Diceros bicornis minor: one gene and its partners. The protein of the gene in region 2 purifies or fractionates together with the protein of the main gene of each other region. This does not show direct contact. Links are inferred from orthologs where the notes say so. Each region holds a gene or a part of one and is shown on either strand. Other genes may lie near its edges.

Region 1 (3,746 bases), on a different chromosome or scaffold from region 2:
CCCACAACGGTAGTCAAGCAGCATACACGAATCGACACTAAGGGCTGATGAATTAAGCAAAGCCTCCTCCAGACTTGCTTGTGGTGCCCTAAGTTTTTACTTACTAACGATTTAGGTCATGAGTTTTTTGAAAATCACTGTGTTGGTAAGCCTGTGTGTTCTCTACTCTCCTTTTCCTTTCTCATCTGCCGCCCTTTGGTCTCCTGACACTTCCATTTTCTTTTTTTCCGCTCTGCCTACCAAAAGGCAGAAACCTCCGGTGTAACTGATCACATCTCTTCCTCTTATTCTAGGACTTTGCAGATGGGAATGGGAGGAAGAAGAGCCAGGTGGAGCCCAAATATTACCTATTCAGATTTTCCAAGCAAAGCGTGTGTGGAAAAGCGCCTCCTCGCTCTTCATTTTGTATATTTAACTAACGGCGCTGTGGCGCCCAAACGCAGATATTGGCCGAGAACAAGATTTCCAAAATGGCTTTGCTCCTTTCGAGCTGGTATCGGTCTATAAAATGCAATTTATTTCCACTGCAACCAACTCTTCTCTCTACCCCAAATACTACTCAATGCATAGATAGCTGAAGCCAACCTAGTGTGGACAACCGAATCACATCTGCTAAATTCAGTACAGAGCCGGCACAGCCGTTGGACTGATGTAAAAACAGCGTTAAAAGAAACCACACGAAGCAAACCGGAGGGGCGGGTGTCGCCGAAGATCGCGCCCTCCCGCCGCCGTGCCTGCCGCAAGCACGCCTCCCGCCGCGGCCACGCCCCCCGCCGCCTCGGCCGCGGCCCCGCCCCGCCGGGGCCCCGCCCGACGTGACGCGCGGGAGCCGCGGGCCCGGGGGGCGGGGCCTGCGCCGCCCCTCCCCCCCCCCCGCCGCCGCCGCCGCCGCCGCCGCAGCCGGCGGCTTCCGCGCGGGCCTCCCAGCCCGTATTCCACTCACTTTGTTCTCCGCCTTTGTCCTAATCCACACCAGCAGGTGGAGCCGCAGTTAAAGTTTCCGAGTCCATTCCGGGAGCGGGAGCCCATCTTGCTCGCCGCCGCGGCCCTCGCTGGAGGAGGAGGGTCAGAGCTCGGGTGCAGCCAATCGCGGGCAACGCTGCTAGTTATCAGAGCAGAATGGGCTGTAGTTTAGTGAAATAGGAAAGCTGCAAAACACTGTGGAGTGTTCCCGTGTAAATAAAAAGAGGAAAAAAAAGTTTCTCAAGTCGCCGCTGCACGACGTCGGGCCGGCGCCGGGGCGGGGGTCTGCGCTCTCCCGAGCGGCCGCGCGCTGGACTTTATTGTGCCGCAACAAGCCCCGGCCCCATTGTTTGTGTGTTTTCAAAATATGGCAAAGGTTCAGGTGAACAATGTAGTGGTGCTGGATAACCCTTCTCCTTTCTACAACCCGTTCCAGTTCGAGATCACCTTCGAGTGCATCGAGGACCTGTCTGAAGGTGAGTGGGCGCCCGCCCGCCGCCGGGCTGTCAGTTGCGGGCTGCAGACGTTGAAAGTTTCCCGGGCCCGGCCTCGCGCGGGCGGGCGGGCGGCCGCGGCTCGGCGCCCGGCGGGCTCGGCTCGGCGGAGGGAAACTTGAAGTTGATGGGCGCCGGCGCGAGGCGCGCGCGGGTCGGCCGCAGCCGGGAAGCCCGCCGCGGCTCAACTTGCGAGGAACTTGTGCGAGCGGAGGGAGCCATGTTGTCAGCTTTGTCTGGCGGGCGGGCGGGTCGCGGGGCCGGGGGTCGCGCCGGGCTGGCCCCGAGCCGCCAACGGCCTCGGCGGCCCCGGCGAGGAGACCGGGGAGGGACAGGCTCGTGTGTGGTCGCGCCGGCGAGTGAGCAGCGGAGCCATCTTACCGGGAGGAGAGAATTGGGCCACCGACCCCGGCGTCACGACGCCTCCTCTCCGCGGGTGACGAGCGCGGCGCGGCGCCTGCCCACCTTCCTGCCCCCGAGCGCCAGGCAGATCCATTTTTAGAGCTGACGCCGGGCTGCCGTTCTCCTGGGTGGCCGTGCCCGGCCGCGCCGCGGGGAGCCAGGCTGTCCTCGCGCGGATCTCGGGCTCCCTCGACCAACCAGCGGGGGAGGCGGGCGCAGGCTCGGGCCCGCTCCCCGGGGCCGCGGGGGCTCCCGGCCGCTGCCGCCCGGCCGGCGCCCGGGATGCTCGGGGCGCCCGGGATGCTGGCGCGCAGGCTCGCCCCGGGCTGCGTGGACTCCTTTTCCGTAATGACTAAATCTTCTCTCCTCTCTCTCAGGAAGAAAAATATTGCTAAGCTAGAAAGTTACATTTAACCCAAGAGCAGAAATAAGTAAAATACTTAAATGTAATCACTGGCTTCTAAGTAGTCTGAAAGAAGACTTGCTTCAAGAACGTGTTGAAACCTAATTAAAATAACTCCACATCCAAACACCCTGAACATAAAACACAAAAGTGGGCTAGGAAATAAAAGGTAAAGTCCTGATGGCAATACAAAAATTTTTACTATTTTTTCTAAGTTCATTTTAAGGTCTTCAAAAAGAGAAATATTTTTAATATGTGCAGTAACATTTAGAAAGCTAAAACTTGCCAAGGTCTTATCTTTGCTTTTCTTAGATTTTGTTAAAATAGTCCAGTGCTTCATTTTCAAAATTTGAGGGGAAAAACTTTTTAACTTCATCAATGGTAATTTTACAATTAGACAGACATACTTCTTTGGACTTACAAGTATACTTAACAAAATGCATTTAAAATTATTCTAATGGCATGTAAAGCATTTTCACTTTAAAAATTAATTTTTAATCTCTATAAAATGTATTTTGTGTAGGGTGTTAACTTTTTAAATTATAAAAGCAATACATGCTCATTGTAATAAACTTTTAAAAGTTGTACAGACATATAAACAGTCCTCTGTATGCAGTGCCTTCACCCAACTCACTCCTGTGTGTAACCATAATTAACACTTTAATCTGTGCTCTTCCCATACAGTTTTAATACATATATAAAGCCTGTATACACATATATGTGTCACATTTTGAAAGATGATTCATTTATTAAACTAATTTTTAAATAGGCCATTGATAATAAAAATTAAAGATGATTTTTCGTATCACTCTGAAACCATTTGATTACTTTCCTGGAGTACTACTATAAGCATTTCAGCTACCAGGCCCATTTTTCATACCTAACAGGCACTAACTTTTCCTTTTTATTGCCATCTGCATGTAAAAATGAGTGAATGCAACAGAAACCATTGATCAGTCCATTCCAACATATACTATAGTGTTTTAGACATTAGAAGTTCTTCAAATTACAGATATTTCTCAAGTGATGCCTTCCATTTTAGGAGCTAGTTCTGACAAGGATGATAGATGATTCAGGATGTTGTTACAGGGCTTAAACATTGGATGGCTGAAACCCGCCATTCATGGAAGCACAACTATGCTCCATTCTTAACTGGGATCTATTCAGAACTCAGCTGAATCACATCAGAGTTTTTACAATACTAATGTCAAGAATATACCTACTTCTGCTTGTACACCTCACTTTCCTGGGCATCTATACTTGGCATTTATTTAATATTTTTTCAAAGAGTTTAAGCTGAGTCATACCGAAGCTGCAAAGGAATCTTTCAAAAAGGAGCTGTGCTTGTGTACTCCACCTAGAGGCTGTGTGGATTAAGAAAATTGAGTTTACTTAGCAAAGGCTTCTTACAGGTTCCATACTTTCGTATTGCAGTTCTTAAGGAAAAAAAAAAATCTATTCTTGAGATGAAACTACAGAACATT
Region 2 (3,746 bases):
AGGCCTTTTTCAGGGTTCTTTTAGCAGCCAAAAAATCCCCCAGGTCTTGGAGGACCTGGGGGGGTGAGGAAAGGTGAGGCTTGCAGACTCCCCAAGGCCCAAGGCCTCCCCGGGGCTGAGCCCAGAGCCACTGAGAACTGGCACCTGTGAGATGAGCAGGCAGCACTCGCTCTCCATGAACCCCTTCTTCATGATGTGTGCGCACTCCCGGGCCCCCTCCAGGCAGCGCATGGCCTGGGAGTGCTGCCCTCTGCGCCAGTGGATGGCGCCCAGGTTGTAGCGGGCGCGGAACAGGTCCTCATAGAGGTGGTTCTGCCTGCGGGTGGTGACAGGCGCTCAGAGTGCCTGGGGCATTCCCACTTTGGGATGGCAGAGTGGCACCCGAGGCACTGACGAGCAGCTGCTGATGCCACTCGGGATTCCAGCCCTGTCACGCCAGGCCTGCTGCCCCCCCCAGCATGCAGCACACACATGCCAGGGCTCCTCTGCTAATGGGAAACGGACGGGGCGGGGGTGAGGTCCAGCCAGCCTGCCCTTTCAGTTGCCCATTCCCCAGCTACTTCCACCAGGAACAGGGACTCAGCTCCCTCTTGGGACCGAGTGGGGGGCCTTACTCAGCGAGAAAGATGCTCTTCTTGAAGTAGTCATTGCACAGGGTCATCTGCTGCAGGCTCTCGAAGGTGAGGCCCAGGTTGAGGTAGAGTCGGGTCCTCATCTCGCTCAGTTCTCGCTTGGCCAATGTCCCTGAAAGACGCACCCTCCAGATACTCAGTGCCTCATCCCCACTTGGAGTCTCCAGCTTTGGGCCCTGTCCAAGGCCCGTCCAGCCTCTCCCCCACCCCTCCTCCCACCTCTCACTGTAGGTGCCAAGGGTCCTGCTGCAGAGTGTGGAAAAACAAAAAGCAGACAATCACCAGATGCCACGTTGCAATGAGCACAGGCCATGCATCCCCTCATAGCAGGGCTTCTAAGGACAGATCTCCGTCTCACAAAGGGAGGGCTCAGGCAGGTGGAACCTGCCACGCAGGCAGGGTTGGCAGGGAGGCTGCAACCTCCTCTGCCTGCAGTTTTGGGGGCAGATGGTGGGGAAGGCCATGCCCCTGAGGGCACTCACCCTGCAGTTTGTCGTCCACGATAGCCAAGCTTTTCTCAAAGGCAGTCTGTGCCTGCAGCAAGGCATCCTGTGTCTGGTGGTGGTCATAGATGTCCAGGTGGGTGCGGCCAATGGTAGCCCAGGCCCTCTGCAGCTCAATATGGTTGGACAGGGAATGGGCTAGCTCCAGGTAGCGGTGCTGGTGCTAGGGTGCAGAGGAATGGCTGCTGTGAGCCAAACCCCACTTCAAGCAAACCTTCCATGTCCCCCAACTCCAGGGCGTCCCTACTCTTGCCCAGGAGAGCCCCCTGCTCCTCAAACCACCCCCCAGAGCAGGCCAAAGCCAAACTACGCACACCCCATCTCCTCTATGCCAAGGGCTGCCTGTGGGGACAGTAGCTCCACACTCCAGCCAGCTAGTGTCATCATAGAGGAGGGACAATGAGTAGGAGTTAGCTGGGCTGCTGCAGGGCAGGCTCTGTGTGGACAGTGTGTCCCGACCCCCCCAGCCGGCCCACAAACGCAGCTCAAATAATACATTTGGTAATGGTTTCTGGGGCCAGGCTCCTAGAAGAGGCTGTGTGTGTCCACTTAAGGACTGACCTACCATTCCCTGGCACAAGGCTCTCTGAAAGTGAGGTTGCGTTGCAGGGTGTCCCCATGTGGCCAGAGGCCCGGACAGTGGACACTGTGCCTCCCTTCTCAGAAAGAGACCCCCACAAAGTGCGGCCCACAAAAGCGGGGTGTGGCCAGAGTGGGTGCTGGCGGGGCACCGCCCACCTGCAGGGCAGCAGAGTAGTCCTCCATCTCCGCCAGCCGCTCTCCGATCTTGCGGTGCGCCACGGCGCAGCCCAGGGGGTCGTCGGCGCTCTCCAGGAGCTGCAACTCCTGCTGATGTTCCCGCAGGGCCTCCGCGTAGCGGCCTGGGCGGGCGGGCGGGCAGGGCAGTCTGCCACGGGCCGCGAGGGCAAGCGGGGCGGCGGCCGGCCCTGGGCGGCGCGCTCAGCAAGGCTCCCAGTCCCCTGTCCCTTCCGGCCCCCTTCCGGCCCCACAACCCCCACGGCCCTCCCGGCTGCCCCCCTCACTCTCCCGGCCCCCCAGCCCCGGGCCCCACCCCGGGCCCGGCGCGGAGCACGCACCATGGCTGGCCAGGAGCTCCCCCAGCTGGTGGCAGAGGGCGGCCTCCTCCCGTAGCTGCCCGCTCCTCTGGGCCTTGGCCTTGGCCTTGCTCAGCTCTGCAGAGAGAGGAACGAGGCCGAGAGGCTGAGCCCCTCTACCTAGGGGGCCAGGCCCGCTCCCGGCCCCCGCGCTGGGCCGGGGAACTCACGGCGAAGCTCGCGGTCCAGGCTCATACTCCATCCGCCGCACACGGGGATCCAGACTTCCCGCGCTCCCGCGCCACCACTGCGGCTCCGCTCCAGGCCCCGCCCCCAGTGCCCGCGCGCAGGCCCAGTCTCGCCCCCGCGGGCCGCGGAGCATCCCGGGAAGTGTAGTCCAGCCGCCCGAAGCATCCTGGGAGCTGTAGTTTGGCTGGTGCCCGCCTCCCCGGACTCCCGGGGCGGCCCAGGGAGCTGAACCGCCCCCCACCCCGGCCCCTCAGCCGCCCTGGGGGAGGTCTCCTGGGCTCTAGCCCCGTGCTGCTGCTGACACCCCCTCCCCTCAAGAAACCTACCTGCACGTGCGACTTTACCTGCGGAACGCGCTGCCCTCGTGTAAGAGGAGGCGGCACCAGCTGCCCCCTCCCACAGAACCGCGGAACCCGCGAGTCCGGCAGCCGGCACCTCTGGGACTCGAGGCCGGTGCTGCTGGCGGAGGGGCCGGATCCAGGCCCGGGGTCCCGTAGCGCAAACCGCTCACCTGCGGTGCCTGGCGGACGCCGCGCACCCGGGCCCCACGTAAGGGCCGCGCACAGCACGCCCCGCCAGGCCTGGGAGCCACGCACTGGCCGCGTTCAAAGGCCCCAGAGGAGGCTGGAAGCCCTGGGAGATGGACTCATTTGTTTTCTGTGGAAATAGAAACAGACCAGTGGGGTAAACTCAGCCAGTGGATGCACAGCCAAGCTGTTGGGGAGGGAGTGACGTGGGGGCGGATGGGTCCATGGGTCCAGGGAAGGCTGCCCAGGGCCAGTGCCCGGCCGCAGGGGTCGGGGCAAGACCGAACCCGAGGAGCTGCAGGAGGTGGGAAGTTGGACCCGGGTGGCCGTCCTCTTCTCTTGGAGGGTGAGGTGCTCTGCCTGGCCCCTAGTCAGGGGTGTGGGGCGCAGGACGCAGGACAGGGAGGCCCTGAAGCCAAGGCGGCTGCTTGGCGGTAAGTTGTGCGGGGCACAGCGAGGGGCGACGGTGGAGGCGGGGTGGGGGAGCAAGGCCAGGGATGCAGAGACTGGCTCAGCTGAACGGCGGAGGGAGCCTCCCCAGCTGACCTGGCTCGCCCTCCAGCGCCCGCATTCACAGGACAGCCCAGGTCCTGGGGGCCCTATTCCCCTTGAGAGCACCCAACTTCTGTATGCCTCAGTTTCGCCACTGATCAGACAGGGATGTGTATATGAGGTGATGCTGAGCAGGGGCTGGAGGGTGGGGAGGCCACAGGCTGGGGGCCAGCGGGGGCAGCAGCTGACCCCTGGCTGGGCAGCTAGCAGAACCCAGGAAAGCCCATC
Region 3 (3,746 bases), on a different chromosome or scaffold from region 2:
AATAAAGCTGGTGTGTGCTTGTTTCCAAAAGGAGTATTATACAAACATATTTGCTTTTTGGTCTTTTAACATAACACGCAGATTAGTTTTGAGGTGAAATCAATTCCTTCTCCTATAATAGCATGTTCTAACTCTGTTATATTTACTGAACAACATCTATACGCAAAGTACTATGCCAAAGGTACCTGAAACTGAAAATGACAGTGTTGTTCCTGGGTTGACACTCTCTAGCAGACATTCCTACTAAACAGCGGTACAAGACAACCTAAATGTCCATGACAAATGAATAAAGAAAGAAAATGTGGTATACACATACAATGGAATACTGTTCAGCCTTAAAAAAGGAAATTCTGCAATGTGACAACATGGATGAACCTTGAAGACGGTTAAGCTAAGTGAAATGAGCCAATCACAGAAAGACAAATAGTGCATGATTCTACTTATATAAGGTATCTAAAATAGTCAAATTCATAGAATCAAAGAGTGGAATGGTGGTTGCCAGGGGCTGGAGGAAGGGGGAAATGTGGAGGTACTAATCAACCGGCATTAAGTTTCAGTCAAGCAAGATGAATAAGCTCTAACCTACTGTACAACACTGTACCTACAGTTAACAGTAATATATTGTACAGTTAAAAATCTGTTTAAGAGGGCAGATCGCACGTTAAGTGTTCTTTCCACAATAAAATAAAAAAAGAAAAAGAAAGAAAAAAAAGGAGGAGGTAAAAGAAATGTGATAAGGGAATTTAAACTAATTCTGCTTAACAGGAACATCTGGAAAGGCTTCATGCATCTAAAAGGTGGCACTGGAATTCAGCCTTGAAAGACTTACAATCTTAAAGAAAAACGAGTGGTGGATAGACTGGCTACAGATGTTTGCAAATATGTGGCAAAGTCAGAAAAGGTATGGGGGGGAGTGTGGATGATGACAGGTCAGTTGTGGAAGACGAAACTGGAAAGAGGACTTGTGAAGAATTTGGCCTTTATTCCATAAGCAATGGCAAATCAAAGTTGGTTATTTTGAGAGGGAGTTAACATCTTTTCCCCCAACAAAGTACAGGGATTATTTGTCTTGTTCATCATTGTCCCCAGCATCTAGCTACCTGGTAAACTGCAAGGCAGTGGAGGCAATTATATTATTTGTTGAAATGAAACATTAATTGAGGACCTTTGCAGTGTAGTGTGGTGCCTAGGTGGGGTTAAGGATGGGATTCATATTCAAAATGAAGTGGGTGACAGGTAAAGACATAATGTTACATTACAAGAGATAACGGAAAATGGCATCTTGGGAGCATAAGGGAAGAAAGGATTGGTGCTGCCTGGAAAGTTTATAGGGTTTCACAAAGGAAGTATGAGCCTTTAGCTAGGCTTTAGCTATTCTCCGCTGTCAAGCAGAGAATAACCACCAAAGGTAAGGAACTATAAATTAAATTATGGTTTTAAGTATATTAGAATTTCATAAGACAGCAGAATTATTCACAATCATAAAAGTGTGGAGGCAACCCAAGTGTCCATGGATAGATGAATGGAGAAAGAAAATGTGGTATATACATACAATGAAATATTATTCAGCCTGAAAAAGGAAATTCTGGCACATGCTATGACATGAATGAAACTTGAAGACATTATGCCAAGTGAAATAAGCTGGTCACAAAAGGACCAATACCGTATGACTCCAAGTATATGAAATACCTAAAGCAGTCAAATTCATAGACAGAAAGCAGAACGGTGGTTGCGAGGTGCTGGGGGGCAGGAGGAACGGGGAGTTCTTGTTTAGTGGGTGCAGAGTCTCAGTTTGGGAAGAGGAGTGCTGGAGATGGATGGTGGTGGTGGTTGCATAACAAGATGAATGTATTTAATGCCACCGAACTCTATGCTTAAAAAAGGTTAAACCGGTAAATTTTATGTTATGTATATTTTACTACAATTAAAAAAAAGGATTTTATAAGACATTCCATAGTGTTTCCACTTCATCCTGGAGGCAGCAGAGACCATACTCTCAGGGAAAGCAGTGATGTTATCTACACTATCTAAGAGAAGTAACTGTGGCCGTGGTGGAAAGTCAGGGAGGGGGTTAGGAGAGGTCAGGAGCCTAGAAGGCAACTCAAAAAAAAAGTGGGGGTGGGGGTTGGAAGGAAAGGAAGGAAGGAGGGGATGGAGGGCGTACGTTCAGCTACTTTTAAGCAGGGCAGGGCTCACCCTCACCGAGCAGCTGTCAAACCCCAGGGTTCACTCCAGTACTTTCATCTGCACAGGCCCCGAGGGCTGCGGGGGGCCTCGGGGCTCCCAGCACCCGGGTGCTGGCTGCCTGTCCAATGAGGGCTCCGCCAGGATTCCAAGGCCAGTTCGGCCTCCCGCCCGACCCTGTCGACGCGTGGCCTCTTACTTCTCCTCACCGAGCCTCAGTTTCCGCGCAGGGCACCGGGGCTACACGACCACCGGCCTCACGGGCTGTGAGGACCGAGCGATGGGAGTAAAGCGCTTAGCACTGGGCACTGGGCCCAGCAAGAGTTTGAGGGAGGGCTCGAGATGGACTGTACCCCTGGAAACCAGCCCAGCCCGTCCAGGGCTCCTCGCGGCGGCCAGGCTGAGCCCCAAGTGGGGCGTGGGCCGCTCTGAGAGGCGCGCGACACCTCGGTTCCCGAACACGCAGCGACCCCACGGCCCCCCGGGCTCCGGAAGCGGGGAGGGGCAGTTCCGCGAGGAAGGGGCGCCCGCACACTTACTCCTCCAAGAAGTCCAGGAACAGTTTCTGGCACTTCTCGGCCACCTCGTCGCGGACCTCCAGGTGCTGGCTGCCGGCGACCGGCTCCGCCGCTGCCGCGAGGTCCATGGCTGCCTAGCGCTGACGGGGCCACCACGCTCGACCGCCACAAGTCGCTGCCCCCCGGACGCTGTCGCTTTGCGCGCGCCGCCGCCTCCCCGCCCCTTCGCCCCACCTGGACGTACGGAGCCAATCGTGGCGCAGGAGCCCGGGGGATTTCGCGCCAAACCTGCCCAATGAGCGCGGCTTCTGCCTCAGCCCCGCCCACGGAGCGGGGATTTCGCGCCAAACGCAAAGACCCGGAGAAAGCCGGCGCTTCTGCCTTTGCGCCTGCGCAGTGTGGTCGTGTCCTGGGGAATTTGGCTTCTGGAGCAAGTTGTAAGGTTGGATCTTTGTTCAGGTGTTCAAATGTTCTTCAAATCATTCCACGGTATTAACTGAGCAGTAGGCGTAAGGCTCTGTGAAAGAGAAAAATGAGTAAGAGACCTCCTGCTTGAGCCGTCTGATTGGAGAAAGTAAACAGTAAACCGCTGGGTAAAACTAAAAGAGCCACTAGGGATGTATAGACAGTACCGGCGAGATGGAGGAGTTGGCAGAATCATTCTGGTTGGTGCTGACCGAGGAAAATTAGCCAAATGTTTGACACTGTTGATTAATTCCTCTCTTAAACGCGGGCTTGGCTTGCCGCCCCCCCGGTCTTCCTTCCCGCCTGTTTGGCCGTCTTTCCTCTCCCGATAGGAGAATCTCTTGGGCCATTCCTGGTTAGCCTCCTTTGTAGGCGCCTCTTCTTCAGCGAGTCCCTTAAATGTTCTGGTTCCAGAGCCCTCCTTTCCCGTAAAGGAGCTCTCTTGGGCGACCCCCTTCTCTCCCTTGGCTTTGATTAACATCTGGGTGCTGATGACTTCTAAATGTGTATCACCAGCCAGCACTCTTTCCTGGGCTGCCAAGAGATTAAGAGAATCCTGGGCGACTTCCATTTTTTGAG

What was found.
Region 1: the proteins of TONSL (region 2) and ASF1A purify together in Homo sapiens (affinity purification with mass spectrometry; 4 studies listed by BioGRID and IntAct, counting the BioPlex papers as one, with this or other methods). This does not show direct contact. The link is inferred for Diceros bicornis minor from reciprocal best matches to the Homo sapiens genes TONSL and ASF1A.
Region 3: the proteins of TONSL (region 2) and MCM6 purify together in Homo sapiens (affinity purification with mass spectrometry; 3 studies listed by BioGRID and IntAct, with this or other methods). This does not show direct contact. The link is inferred for Diceros bicornis minor from reciprocal best matches to the Homo sapiens genes TONSL and MCM6.

The regions. Positions count from the first base shown.
Region 1 is NC_080762.1:17,474,150-17,477,895, reverse strand, and holds the start of ASF1A (histone chaperone ASF1A), read left to right. Parts: upstream 1-1,025; 5' UTR 1,026-1,330; coding exon 1,331-1,439; intron 1,440-3,746. UniProt on the Homo sapiens protein: Histone chaperone that facilitates histone deposition and histone exchange and removal during nucleosome assembly and disassembly.
Region 2 is NC_080760.1:57,048,645-57,052,390, forward strand, and holds the start of TONSL (tonsoku-like protein), read right to left. Parts: upstream 2,528-3,746; 5' UTR 2,446-2,527; coding exon 2,421-2,445; intron 2,329-2,420; coding exon 2,233-2,328; intron 2,017-2,232; coding exon 1,874-2,016; intron 1,299-1,873; coding exon 1,115-1,298; intron 745-1,114; coding exon 615-744; intron 317-614; coding exon 145-316; intron 56-144; coding exon 1-55. UniProt on the Homo sapiens protein: Component of the MMS22L-TONSL complex, a complex that promotes homologous recombination-mediated repair of double-strand breaks (DSBs) at stalled or collapsed replication forks.
Region 3 is NC_080749.1:21,382,079-21,385,824, forward strand, and holds the start of MCM6 (DNA replication licensing factor MCM6), read right to left. Parts: upstream 2,872-3,746; 5' UTR 2,831-2,871; coding exon 2,724-2,830; intron 1-2,723. UniProt on the Homo sapiens protein: Acts as a component of the MCM2-7 complex (MCM complex) which is the replicative helicase essential for 'once per cell cycle' DNA replication initiation and elongation in eukaryotic cells.